Linked DNA regions of Daphnia pulex. The protein of the gene in region 2 interacts with the protein of the main gene of each other region in a pairwise test. Links are inferred from orthologs where the notes say so. Each region holds a gene or a part of one and is shown on either strand. Other genes may lie near its edges. The genes, in order: E3 ubiquitin-protein ligase Su(dx)-like, epidermal growth factor receptor kinase substrate 8-like and peripheral plasma membrane protein CASK-like.

Region 1 (4,412 bases), on a different chromosome or scaffold from region 2:
ACGCAAAGGGGGTATTTAATTAATAATAATTTTACCTAGCCACTCCTCCGTAATCAAGGCCCTCCTCGCCGCGGAAAATGACGTACAGCCGCCTGCGGAGCTCGTAGGCGGGCAAGCGCATAATCTGATGGTGCGAATCTTCAAAGAGCGTCGACCGGTTGAGAGTGATCTTGATGTGTGATGGTAAGGCATTACTCTGACACAGATAGCGGAATTGAGATAGCTTCCAGCGGAATGAGCGCTCGTAAGCGATGGGAACGCCATAGGCACCTTTCGGACTGCGTCCAGCGCAATGAGGAAAAAAAAAACACAAGCAATTAACACACACAAAGCAATAAAAGCACTTTCAAGTAGCGGGCGAGCTGGATAGAACACGTTGTGGCAGTAATGATGGACAACATAATCATACCCTTTAGTTGCGCCTGGTCTAGGATCTTGGAAGGTGGTCGTCCGGGTATTGTGATCCACAAAATAATGAACACCATCGTCCGTGATTCGCATTTCCCAGCCGGGAGGCAAAGGATCTTCTTGGTTCATCCTGAAATGAATCAGAGAAAGAAAGAAATGAGATATAGATTGATTGAGGGATTTCGATGAATTGACAAGTGAGAGACACACCCCTGGGTTCTCGGATCCTCCCACTGTGTGGTGCGATTCTTGTGGTTGACAAAGTAGACCCTGCCATTAGGCTCGACACGTTTCTCCCAGCCTTCTGGCAAAGGTCCAAGCGGATCGCTCTCTTCCGTACCCGTCACCACCGCCGTTCCGGTGCTGACTCCTCCACCCTAGTTAGGAAAAAAACAACAACAACATCAATGCAAGTGACGTCACGATTAGCTCAATGATCAATGAATCAACTACCTGTGGAAATAGGAATCTCTGGCTGCACTGTTGAACAACATGCGCTCGCTGGCCTTGCCACTGTTCGTAATGTTGCAGACGTTCAACATTCGGTCTTTGCCATGTCGTCCTGGTTAATTTACAAATACGAATTAATTTAATTGAAAAAGTTGAAACCATTAAATAAACTTACGATCGAGTGTTGTGATCCACGTAGTAGGCTCGACCACGAGGGTCTCTTCTCATCTCCCATCCGGCCGGAAGAGGCTGCGGGCGCTCCCACGTCGTACTCCGCGTGTTATGATCGACGTAGTAGCGCCGGTTGTATTTATCGAAACGGACTTCCCATCTAATGAAGACAAAATAACGTCAGTTACATTTCAAATGGATGTGATACAACAACAGCATCAACTCACCCTGGCGGAAGAGGTTCTTCGGGGCCAGGTGGAGCAGCCGGAGGTGCTGTCGTGGCTGGGGTAGTTTCAGTCCTCGGAGCCGGTGCTGCCACTGTCCCGTTGGGAGTCCTGGACGGCGTCTGCTGCGGTGTTCCGTTGGGTGTCCTGGATGGAACACCAGTTACTACTGCTGGAATGGGGGCGGCTTCAACATCATTCGATCGGGTACGAGGACGAGCTCCGCCACCATTTTCGCCCGTGGTCAAATTCGTGACAGGAGCTACTGCTGCACCGTTCGTCCGGATCTCAGCGGTTGAGCTGGATTCACCTGTTTCTCCGTTCACTCTGATGATTAAAAAAATGGGAGCACACAGATTTATAATGATGAATCGCTCGCTTCCATTTGAACGCTGCACATTATTACCTCGTTGCGCTTCGACTACTGCCTGTCAACAATTTTGGATCTACCCTCATTCCGTCCATCACAATAAAAATTTCTCCAATCTTCACTTTAGAGCTGCGACCGTTAGCTGCTTCTGTCGTTGATGCAATGCTAGTATTCTTTATTTCTCCCTATTGATGCCAGAAATATTGAATAATTTTGTTTGTTTTGTGTTTTTCTAGTAATCAAGTATGAGGCTTACCTTAACATCCAGAACAAGACTGGTTTTATCAAATTTCCCTTGTTCTCGTACTAGTTGTTTTTGGATATCTATTCTGCCTTCTCCTAGAACCAAATCTCGCTTGAAAGTTGAATGACTGTAGAGCCTCAGTAGACATTTTGAATTGATTTTCACAAGACTAGAAAAATAAATAAGATAAGACACTTGCAAATGTGCTGAATCATAGCAACTGTACATACACAGTAAAGGATTCACAAGACCAAGTGGGATCATGTGTGTTCTTCACAGCCTCAGTTTTCCAAACCACTTTCCCATCAACCAAGATTTCAACATATGGTGAAGGCTTTTTTGTTATGCAAACTGGGTCAACAGTGGCCTTTAGAACTATATTGCATAAATCAGATTAGAACTTTTCCAATGTAAAGATTAAATATCAATTGCATTGAACCTGAGAGATTTAGTTGATGAAAGTGGGAGTCATTGTTGTTCCTAGAGCTTGCGCTATTGGAACTGGTTACAACAGCTGCAACAGTTTCAGCCATTTCATGGAGGTCAGACCTTGGACGTTGCTGTAGTTCAGAACTACACCAGATACTAAACTGATCTGGTGTTTTCAATACTATCAAAGCCCATAATCAGAACAGGAACCTGTAAAAAATTTAAGAGATAAGATGAGTACTGATTTTTGACGTCATCACTGATAAAGATTTTGCTATGCAAACCACTAACCTGCATCCACACTGCTACATGGAACATGAATGATGTTTCGGTGTTGAAATTAATTTATAATCTTTATAACAACCAGGCTTTAGGACTTTAGAAAAATGTCACTGTGAAGTGAAAACAGCAAAAAAATACACCTACAGGGCTCAGTTGAGTATTAGCGCGAAAGTAAAATTATCTCTTTAAAATGTCAATAAACCGAAATACAAGCAGGCAGTATAAAGATTAGAAACTCTGGTGGTATTTCCCGTTGAACGAGATAAAATTATAGCTGCAATTATAGCAAACACACAAAACACAAGTACAAGACTACAAGTCTTTGCAATAAGTCACCATTTTTTCTTGGCTTAAAACACTGTTGCCAATTTCTTCTCTTAGTGTTTTCTTCAAAGTTGTAAATATTGCCAACAGATGGATTGTATTTTTGTCTGCTAGAAAGAAAAAAAAAATAACAACAGTGCAAAATTTGCCAAAAGTCTACGATGGTCTTTGAATGTCAAAAATCACCGTACAAGAAAGAGGTTCAATAAATTTTCCTTTTTGGTATTTGTATTTTCTTATCCTATTAATGATCAGTATGGTGTTTCGTAGTTTACGAGCAAAGTCGTCTCTTGTTCGCCGTGTCAGATCGAGAGGCTCGTCCAGGGGAAAAAGGAGAAAGTACAAGCATTTGAAGTCTTATTGGAAGATACCGTTTTTTTTCCTGAAGGTGGAGGCCAGGTAATTTTTACGTTAAATTACACATCCTCATATAGAATTGGTTTTAAAAATTCAAATGTCAAAAGCCTGATGACAGAGGCTTCTTGAACGGAATCCCTGTCTTTCAAGTCAAAAGAAGAGGGAAGGATGCCATCCATTTTTTACAAGACAGCCTGGATGTTGGGACTCTAGCTACAGGTGTCATTGATTGGGAGAGAAGGTGGGATCATATGCAGCAACACTCTGGGCAGCATCTAATCACTGCAATTGCTGATGCTTCATTTGGTTTCAAAACAACATCTTGGTGGCTTGGGGAATCTGTTTCCCATATTGAATTAGGTAAATTTTTCCTTCTTAACTTTGTGTTCAGAATTTTCTGTAGCATCATTGATTGACACTTAATATTAAATTACAAGATACTGTAAATCTGACTGATGCCCAACTAAAAACCATTGAAAGCCAAGTGAATGAGAAAATCAGGGAAGCTGTCTCTGTGGAAGTAAAAGTATACGAAGGAGATGCGATACCCGACCAAGTAAGAATTTTACTTTAATTGACATTAAAGTTAAATTAAAGAAAACCATATTGGGTTCGTAGGTCCGTTCTAGAGGTCTTCCCGATGACCACGTTGGTCCTGTTCGCGTCGTAACTATTTTAGGTGTAGACAGCAACATGTGTTGTGGAACTCACGTTTCCAACCTTAGTCATTTACAGGTATTGTACGCAGTTTACTACCCCCAATAGTACAAGCAATAATTAACCATCGATTAAAATACTTCATTTAGTTCATAAAGCTGCTTTATGCTGAAAAGGGTAAAAAAAATAAGACCAACCTCTTCTTTATAAGTGGAAATCGAGTGCTAGATTACATCAATCGTTCACTTGACAGGGAGCGCCAGTTGACTAAAATTCTGAAGTATGAAATGCTTAAAATAATTGTTGAAATGACAAGTGATTAACTCATTTGCTCGTTTCAGAAACGGACCTGAAGATCATGTCGATTTAGCTAATAAATTACAAGCCTCAGTAAAGTTATCACAAAAGGTAAAACAACTTTTGAACTTCTCCGTATCCTAATCGACTGTAGATTAATTTAAAAATTTTCTTTTCTTTTAAGACTTTGCAAACTTTG
Region 2 (2,978 bases):
TGTGTTCAGGTTTCACCACGCCGTTTCGAGGAACAGCGGAAAGAGGATTCTAAACGAGAAATTCATCAACTGCTGGAGCACATAGTCAATAATCAAAATATGCCGCTCAAGGAGAAACGAAAGAGGCTTAAGCAGGTAGATCAACATTTCGATATTTATAGAATCGAAAATAATTAACTCCGTTGTTTTGCCATTTCTAGTTTCAAGCTGCCTATCCAGAAATTTACCGAAGCAAGTTTCCCACGGAAGCGGATATATTTAAGGAAGAGCGACATCAATTGCAGGGTCAAAAGCGTTCAAGCAACCAGTCCACCGTGTTTTCCCGGATCCGCAACCTACGTCTTACATGATTTTAATGATATTATGACGATCGTATATTTTTTTAACTATTTTTAGATTTCCCTTGCTAATTTGACTAACTTTCAATGCTGTTAACGTGTATTGTCAGTTTAAATACTGTACTATGGTATCCAAACCCATTGGGGCTTGCTCAAGGAGCTCAGTAGGCCTACTAATTTGAAATCCACATATTCAGGATGGGGATTAATCAAAAATATTTCATTTGATATGAATATTCTTAATAAGCATAATACTGGAAATACATTTGTCCGTCTATTTCTAAAATTTAAGATTGCTTCATCAATTTTAACAACTTTGATCCATGTAATTATATAGTACTAAATATTCGATGAATTTCGTACAGTAAAGATAATATAGTAAAGCATAATTCTCAAGGAAACTTATTATACTCTGTTAGAAATATTTAAAAAAAATAATCTAGGTTTTCTAGTCGTCGTTGCTACTAGTGCTTTGCATCTTCTTTTTCTGTTTGCGAATAATGTCACGTAGCGTCCCGGTTGGGATGACGATGTCGTCATCGGAATCATAGTCTGCATATTTCAAAAGAAGAAAGTTCGTGAAAATGTATGGATTATTTGGCCGCTTAAATTTTCATTTCACAAATGGAATAAAATTTATTACCGCTGTCTAAGTTCAGGGGTGCTTTGGCTTTGGTTTGTTTCTTCGGTGCTTTCTGGACCGTCGGAGAGGAGTCACGATCATTCTTGTTGTGCGATCCACCTGTTTCAGAGGAGCGCGATCGTTCCTCTTCTTTTTTGGTAGGATTCTTTGGTTGATCGTTCTTGGTTTCTGTTTTCATTCGGGCTCTCTTTAATGCTTCTTGAAGTTCAGATGAACGCATTGTTTGATACTAAAAAATAAAATAACAAAATTTCATTATCGTTGCAACAAAGGTTAATTAATGGGAAACTAATGAAAAACTGTAAATACCCCTGATGCTCTGCGCTGAAGAGTTAACTGTGAATCCAGTCGATGACCTTCTTCTTTGCCACAGTACTTTTCCAAATCTGCCTTTTTCAGCTTAAACAACTCTTCACCGCTCATGCCATTCAAACGCTTCTGAATCCTATTTTTTAAATGTGTGTTTTAAAACATGGCTTAGATTTCTAATGTTTTGTTGGATAATGTCTATCATATTGAATGAATTACGTACACAATATCGAATTCCTTGGCTTTGAGCCAATCGCGAACTTCGTCGGGAGTTGATTTGAGTGTAATGTACATTTCGGGAGTTTTACGAATATCCAATTTATTTTTTTCCGGTTGGTAAATGTCTAATAGGTTCTTCAGTTCTTCGACCATCATGTCTTGACTGCTGAGGCCTGGAGAAGAATAAATCAGTTTCAACATTTTCTCTTTTTAAATATTTAACAAGATATTAGCATTTTTTAATACTTCTTGTCATAGGTTTCGGTTTAATGGCTTCCTCCTTTTTGATTGGTTTTTTTATGATTTCAACCTCCTTGGGCGGTAGAGGTGGAGGTGGTGGCGGAATAGAAATCACCGACTCGGCTCTACGTCTCTGTCGGCGGCTCTTGGCCGGCAGGCCGTCACTGTCCTCGCTGTAGCTATCGCTGGTGTCAGCACCTTTCATCAAATAGCCATCTCGTAATTAGGAAAACGATCGTAGGTCTGAGGGTGCATATTTCCATCCTTTCATCCGTCTGAGTTACATCTGACCACCATCGACACGGCAACTTTGTGGCCAATTAAGATCCGAAACCAACTTTCAGCCAAAACGCTAACAGCTAAACTTTCAGACATTCTACTCCTAACAATTTTGGCTACTTAACTAACTGCGATGCTTGCTGCCTACTTTCCCTTTTTGTTTTTTGAGAAAAGAGAAAGCCACGTCTGGGGTTAGAATTATTCATCACATGTAAGACGTATCATGGATGTATAGGCAGCGGCACTTTGCAGTTGGTCACAGCTGGACCGTGGCGAAGTGGCTGTGAAATACACGTACGAGTTCGTCTTTTGGCTGCCATATCTTTACGTAAATAATCAAAAGGAGCGTCGCTGATAATTCACGCGAGACTCGAAACTCCGTCAATGTACGACGTAGAAAGTGCGAGAGGATTACCGAAGCGGGAAGGAGAGAGAGAGAGCGGCGGGCAGCGGTTACACGTAGCGCATGGACAAACAGACGCAAAAGACATATATACGCACGCTGACGGGCACACAAACGTATAATATGAATAATATGGACGGTATATTTTCCATCACGAGAACAGCATTCAACATTTTTCTTTTTTTACGGTCAGCCTCGTCAACCACACACTCAGCACAACGGCACAAATTTCGTTGGGCGTCATCAACCGAGAGACACACATAAACGATTAGCACCTATATAGCAAGTATTCGTACACAAGTCAAATGTAAATGGTGGAGAAAAAAAAATCGTAAAGATACAAAACTCTAAGAGAGAGGAGAAGAATGGAGATTATGCAAGGGTCATCGACCGTCTTTGGGAGTGTCCTCAATCAAGCGTAATAAAAATTCAAAATATGGGAAAACAAACAAATTGGATGTTGAGACTCTACTATGTAAAGGGAATGCACATAAGAACAAAAACCTAAACGAGTAATTGAAACTGACATAAGACAAAAGAACGGAAG
Region 3 (4,168 bases), about 6.7 Mb from region 2:
ATGAAACAACAACAACAAAAATGAACATTTAACCAGCATCCTTTAAAACACGAAAGCATGTTGAAGGGATACTAGAAAACCATTTTAGTACGCGTGAAATGCAGTATGCTGATAATCCGTAAAAAGGAATTCGATCAATTAGCGGGCACACTTCTATTTTAAAATAAACCCAACTTTAAGCTTTCACGTGTTAAAGTTTTATTTACTTGGTATCAAAGTAATAAAAAGTAAATTTCCTGCAATGTGCTCTCCTTTCATTCGGCAGGCATCCAACAAGAGGTGCCAATCAATGAAATCCAATCAGGACGAAAGCCATCCCCCAATAAAAGAGCGGATGTGATCCCCCCGTCCGTCAATGAAAGCCTTTTTTACTAGCGGAATCCTCTTCAATGGAGTAAACCAGCCACAACTCTTAAACCGCAAATGGAAACCGGAGACGACTACCATATGGGATTCCCCCGGTTGGAAATAAAAGCGACTCAATATGGTTCGGAAAGAAATTTACGAGCGATAAATTTAGCATTTCGTTTGAACAAAAACTCAACTATTATCCAAGGTTGGAAAGAATTGGATTTTTGCGTATTACGGCACCGATTTATCGAGGAACACGTATTGCAAGTTAAAATTAAAAATAAGTTATCAAGATTGGTCGTGCAAATCTATGAAGAGAAATAAATCTAAATAAAGCTAGCTGAAGTTCACGGTATCCGGTTTCCACAAATTCTCTTGTTCCTGCGAACGCCCTCTTGCTACACATCCACCAACTGACGTAATTGCTACATACAATATCCCCGCAAACATTCATGCAACTCCAAAGGGGAATCGAAAAATAATCTATTTAAAAGCCCGTAGGTCACTATTAAAATAGTGCGTGACTTACTGTTGGATATTGATTCATCTTCATCAATATCGGAAAAGGCGTCGCAGTTGGGATCTAAAGAAGGATGCCCCCATTTGATGGAATTTGCCGTGGCCACGATCAAACTCTTGAGCTTCCTACGAGCATTGAATATGCGCATCTCTTCTACGGTGAGGTGGAGGTGGTCTCTGGAGGCGCACTTGTCTCGATTCTGAATACAAATCAAGCAGTCAAAGCAGGTTTTGCATTGGTCACGTCCACAAAGGCAAGGAAAAATTCAAAATTCACCTTGAGCCACCGGTGTTCCAAAGCTTCGTGAACCGATAGACGATCGTTTTGGTCGACGCACAAAAGCTGCTGCAGTAAATCCTTTGCGTGGTCACTAATGGCTCCCCAGACTGGAGCATCGAACTGCAAAATTGCCCAGGAAAAATGCGGACAAATTTAGAAGGATCTAGGCTAGAAGGCCTTGAAATAAATTTACGATGTCCACTTACGTGCAGCTCGCCACTGCAGATGGTGTATCTCAAGGATTCGTCTGTCCCCAAAAAAGGTTGTGTTCCAGACAGCAGAATATGGAGCAATACTCCTGCACTCCATATGTCCGACGCTTTGCCATGCGGTCGATTTAAAGCCATTTCAGGGCTAATATAGAAGCTATCTCCCAATCGACCTATACAAAATTAATACTTGAACTAATACTGTACATTGAATGGGAAAACATAACATCAACAATCAGACCTGATGTCACCACATCTTCGTCAGTAAGACGCTTAGCGCATCCGAAACCCGCTAGTTTTACGGGCGCCGAATTTTCTTTATTTGCAAGCAAAATGTTGTGAGGTCGTAAATCTCGATGGATAATGTCGTGATCATGGCAGTAACGGAGTGCCTCAAGCACTTGACGAAAATAATGGCTAAACAAACCAACCAAAGGTTAATGTAATTCCAACTTACGTTTAAGAAGGTAAATTAGGTTACCTTGCTACAGCTTCACTATAAACAAAACCAGATGTGGCACGTTTAACAATTTCTATACACAAATCAGCTCCTTCCATCCTAATTTTTTTAAAAATAATAGATTCAGTCAATCATTACCCATATGTACAAGCAGGAGTGTAAAAACTTACAATTCATACACCATGTACACCATTCCTTCAGAACTGTAGGTTTCTAATAACTCTACTATGTGGGGGTGTTTAAGCATGTGGCATATGGTGGCCTCAAGTTTAAGATCTAAAAATAATTTGAAATAATTAGGGATTAGTAAAGTTAAAAATCTACATTTAAACATACTGTCAAGTGTGAGTGACGGAATGGCAGTAAATTTGGCTGCATCAACAATTTTAACAGCAAAATGTTGTGCTGTTAACCGGTGGGTGCAGCGCCTAATAACACTGCATGAACCCCTGAAATTTAATTTAATGACAAAAAATTATTGGGAAAATGATAAAGTTTAATGATGATGTTTACCTCCAAATAACTTCTTGTAACTCGTAAGCTTCATCAAACAAAATATCATCTTCAGTCATTTTGAAGCTTGTAGAACACTGTTGAGAAAGAATTCAAATTCAGGTTAGTAAGAAATAGAAAGGAAGTGCTGTCATTCTTATTGTGTGGGTGCATTAATTGAGTTCAACCAACCATTTCCTGATCTATCAGGTTCACTTTCAGCCTAAGAAGGAAATGGCAACTAAACACCCTTCTATAGAAAAGTAACCTTAAAGAATAAACATATCTAAAAGAATTTGATTGCAGGTTTACTAAACATTCCCCTCCCCTTTCCCTTGCCATAATAATATTTCCACTAGCATGCTGTTTCCTGTGAGTGCTGCCAAAAAACGCCCATCCCCTTCTCCGGTACGAATATGAGAATTCAAACGACGATGATTTTGATTCTTGATAGTAGATAGGTACTTACATTAGCAATTTGGTCCAAAACAGAAAAATTTCACCAAACAAACGCAACTAATAAATGTACAACAAGTCTTTAAGCCATTCTTGGACGAAGCGTCTTGCCTTGCCCATTACACACAGAGCAGACATTACTTCGATCTTTTCCCTGGATCCCAGCCTAGGCTATCCGCAGCGCCTCTAGTGTCATTCTAAGGAAATCCCTGCGTACTATTTTATTCCTGAAGATCACTATGTTATTGTATTTTTGTGTCTCGGAAAAGCGCTTGATTATTATCGAATTAGACAATTACGTTGGGATTTCAGTTAAAAAGCAATCGTGAGTTGATCTTCTTGGAGAAATGAGCAACTTTTCTCCTAGAGAACAGTTTAGTTCTTCTGTGTTTTTTCATTTTTTCTTTTGAAAATTTAAATGTGAGCCACCATTTTGCGCCGATTAAAGGTCGTGGTCAGAACAAGCTTCGTTAACCTTCCTCCTTTTCGTTAAACCGTGGAAAAAGTGAAGTTGAGCTTTTGTTGTCCTAAAAGAATTGGCGGTTTATTACGATTAACTCACTAAGCGTGTCAATAACGACTTGTCATAACAAGTGCGATAGTTTTTTAAGGTAAATTTTAAAATGCTTACCCGAGGTAAAATTCCTAATGTTTCGGACGGAGCAAACTGTCAAGATAGTGAGGACAAAGAGGATGATGATGAAGAAACTATGAACGATGACAATTCTTCTGAAAAAGATTCCTCTTCGAGCAAAGATGAGCAGAGTGAGTGTAAAGTACCCTTTCGGCCCCTTTCAGCTCTTCAAATGAAGCGAACTCCTTCAGCAGATCGTGCCAACATGTCACCAGTTTTGGTAAGAAAACATTTTCAATAGGCATAGTAGTGTTTTTTTCAATAATTTTTTCTGCTTCCAGACTGGTCAGCGTTCATCAAGATCTAATTCTAGAAGAGGCCAGTTTGTCAACGAAATTTCTTCAGAGGATACTCCATTGTCAAAACGTCAAGTGATGAAAAGTGGAGGAGGCAAGAGAAAGAGGCTAGTCTTGGTCGAACCAGAAGAAACTTCACAGGAAGCAGAAGCAAAGCTCAACAGTGCAGAAGAAAGTCACGATGAAGAAGTAAACAGTACAAACCAAAGAAAGATTTCTGTTGCAGAAAGTGAAACTGAGAAGCATGATGAAAGTCATGATGGTGTTCGCAGGAGCCAGAGAGCAAAAAGACAAATGTACACTTACAACGACAGTTGGATATTTGCTGAAAAAAATGTCAAGGTTAGTGTTATGAATTTTTCTCATGACTAGAGTTATAAGATTTACACTTGCTGAATTTTTAGGGATATCCTGCTGCAATCAAAGAAGAAGACACAGCAGCAGAAGGAAATGACCGAATGCATACTAGAC

What was found.
Region 1: the proteins of epidermal growth factor receptor kinase substrate 8-like (region 2) and E3 ubiquitin-protein ligase Su(dx)-like interact in a two-hybrid assay, tested with the Caenorhabditis elegans proteins (2 studies listed by BioGRID). The link is inferred for Daphnia pulex from reciprocal best matches to the Caenorhabditis elegans genes eps-8 and wwp-1.
Region 3: the proteins of epidermal growth factor receptor kinase substrate 8-like (region 2) and peripheral plasma membrane protein CASK-like interact in a two-hybrid assay, tested with the Caenorhabditis elegans proteins (4 studies listed by BioGRID). The link is inferred for Daphnia pulex from reciprocal best matches to the Caenorhabditis elegans genes eps-8 and lin-2.

Annotation. Positions count from the first base shown.
Region 1 is NC_060026.1:2,733,884-2,738,295, reverse strand, and holds the start of E3 ubiquitin-protein ligase Su(dx)-like, read right to left. Parts: upstream 2,940-4,412; 5' UTR 2,588-2,939; intron 2,507-2,587; 5' UTR 2,401-2,506; coding exon 2,307-2,400; intron 2,243-2,306; coding exon 2,098-2,242; intron 2,037-2,097; coding exon 1,880-2,036; intron 1,809-1,879; coding exon 1,660-1,808; intron 1,581-1,659; coding exon 1,257-1,580; intron 1,190-1,256; coding exon 1,034-1,189; intron 971-1,033; coding exon 862-970; intron 786-861; coding exon 619-785; intron 539-618; coding exon 410-538; intron 279-409; coding exon 36-278; intron 1-35. Other genes in the region: alanyl-tRNA editing protein Aarsd1-B-like, read left to right, coding at 3,064-3,102, 3,173-3,301, 3,367-3,619, 3,697-3,815, 3,878-3,994, 4,066-4,196, 4,258-4,324, 4,398-4,412. UniProt on the Caenorhabditis elegans protein: E3 ubiquitin-protein ligase which accepts ubiquitin from an E2 ubiquitin-conjugating enzyme in the form of a thioester and then directly transfers the ubiquitin to targeted substrates. Ubiquitinates klf-1.
Region 2 is NC_060018.1:7,750,250-7,753,227, reverse strand, and holds the end of epidermal growth factor receptor kinase substrate 8-like, read right to left. Parts: intron 1,948-2,978; coding exon 1,756-1,947; intron 1,683-1,755; coding exon 1,514-1,682; intron 1,427-1,513; coding exon 1,291-1,426; intron 1,211-1,290; coding exon 982-1,210; intron 891-981; coding exon 787-890; 3' UTR 600-786; downstream 1-599. Other genes in the region: DEP domain-containing protein 1B-like, read left to right, coding at 1-135, 201-350.
Region 3 is NC_060018.1:1,069,594-1,073,761, reverse strand, and holds the start of peripheral plasma membrane protein CASK-like, read right to left. Parts: upstream 2,926-4,168; 5' UTR 2,781-2,925; intron 2,410-2,780; 5' UTR 2,392-2,409; coding exon 2,333-2,391; intron 2,269-2,332; coding exon 2,156-2,268; intron 2,096-2,155; coding exon 1,990-2,095; intron 1,919-1,989; coding exon 1,841-1,918; intron 1,777-1,840; coding exon 1,601-1,776; intron 1,533-1,600; coding exon 1,357-1,532; intron 1,271-1,356; coding exon 1,148-1,270; intron 1,071-1,147; coding exon 881-1,070; intron 1-880. Other genes in the region: ATPase family AAA domain-containing protein 2-like, read left to right, coding at 3,391-3,621, 3,683-4,039, 4,102-4,168. UniProt on the Caenorhabditis elegans protein: May play a structural role in the induction of the vulva. May be required for the localization of signal transduction molecules (such as let-23 receptor) to either the basal membrane domain or the cell junctions.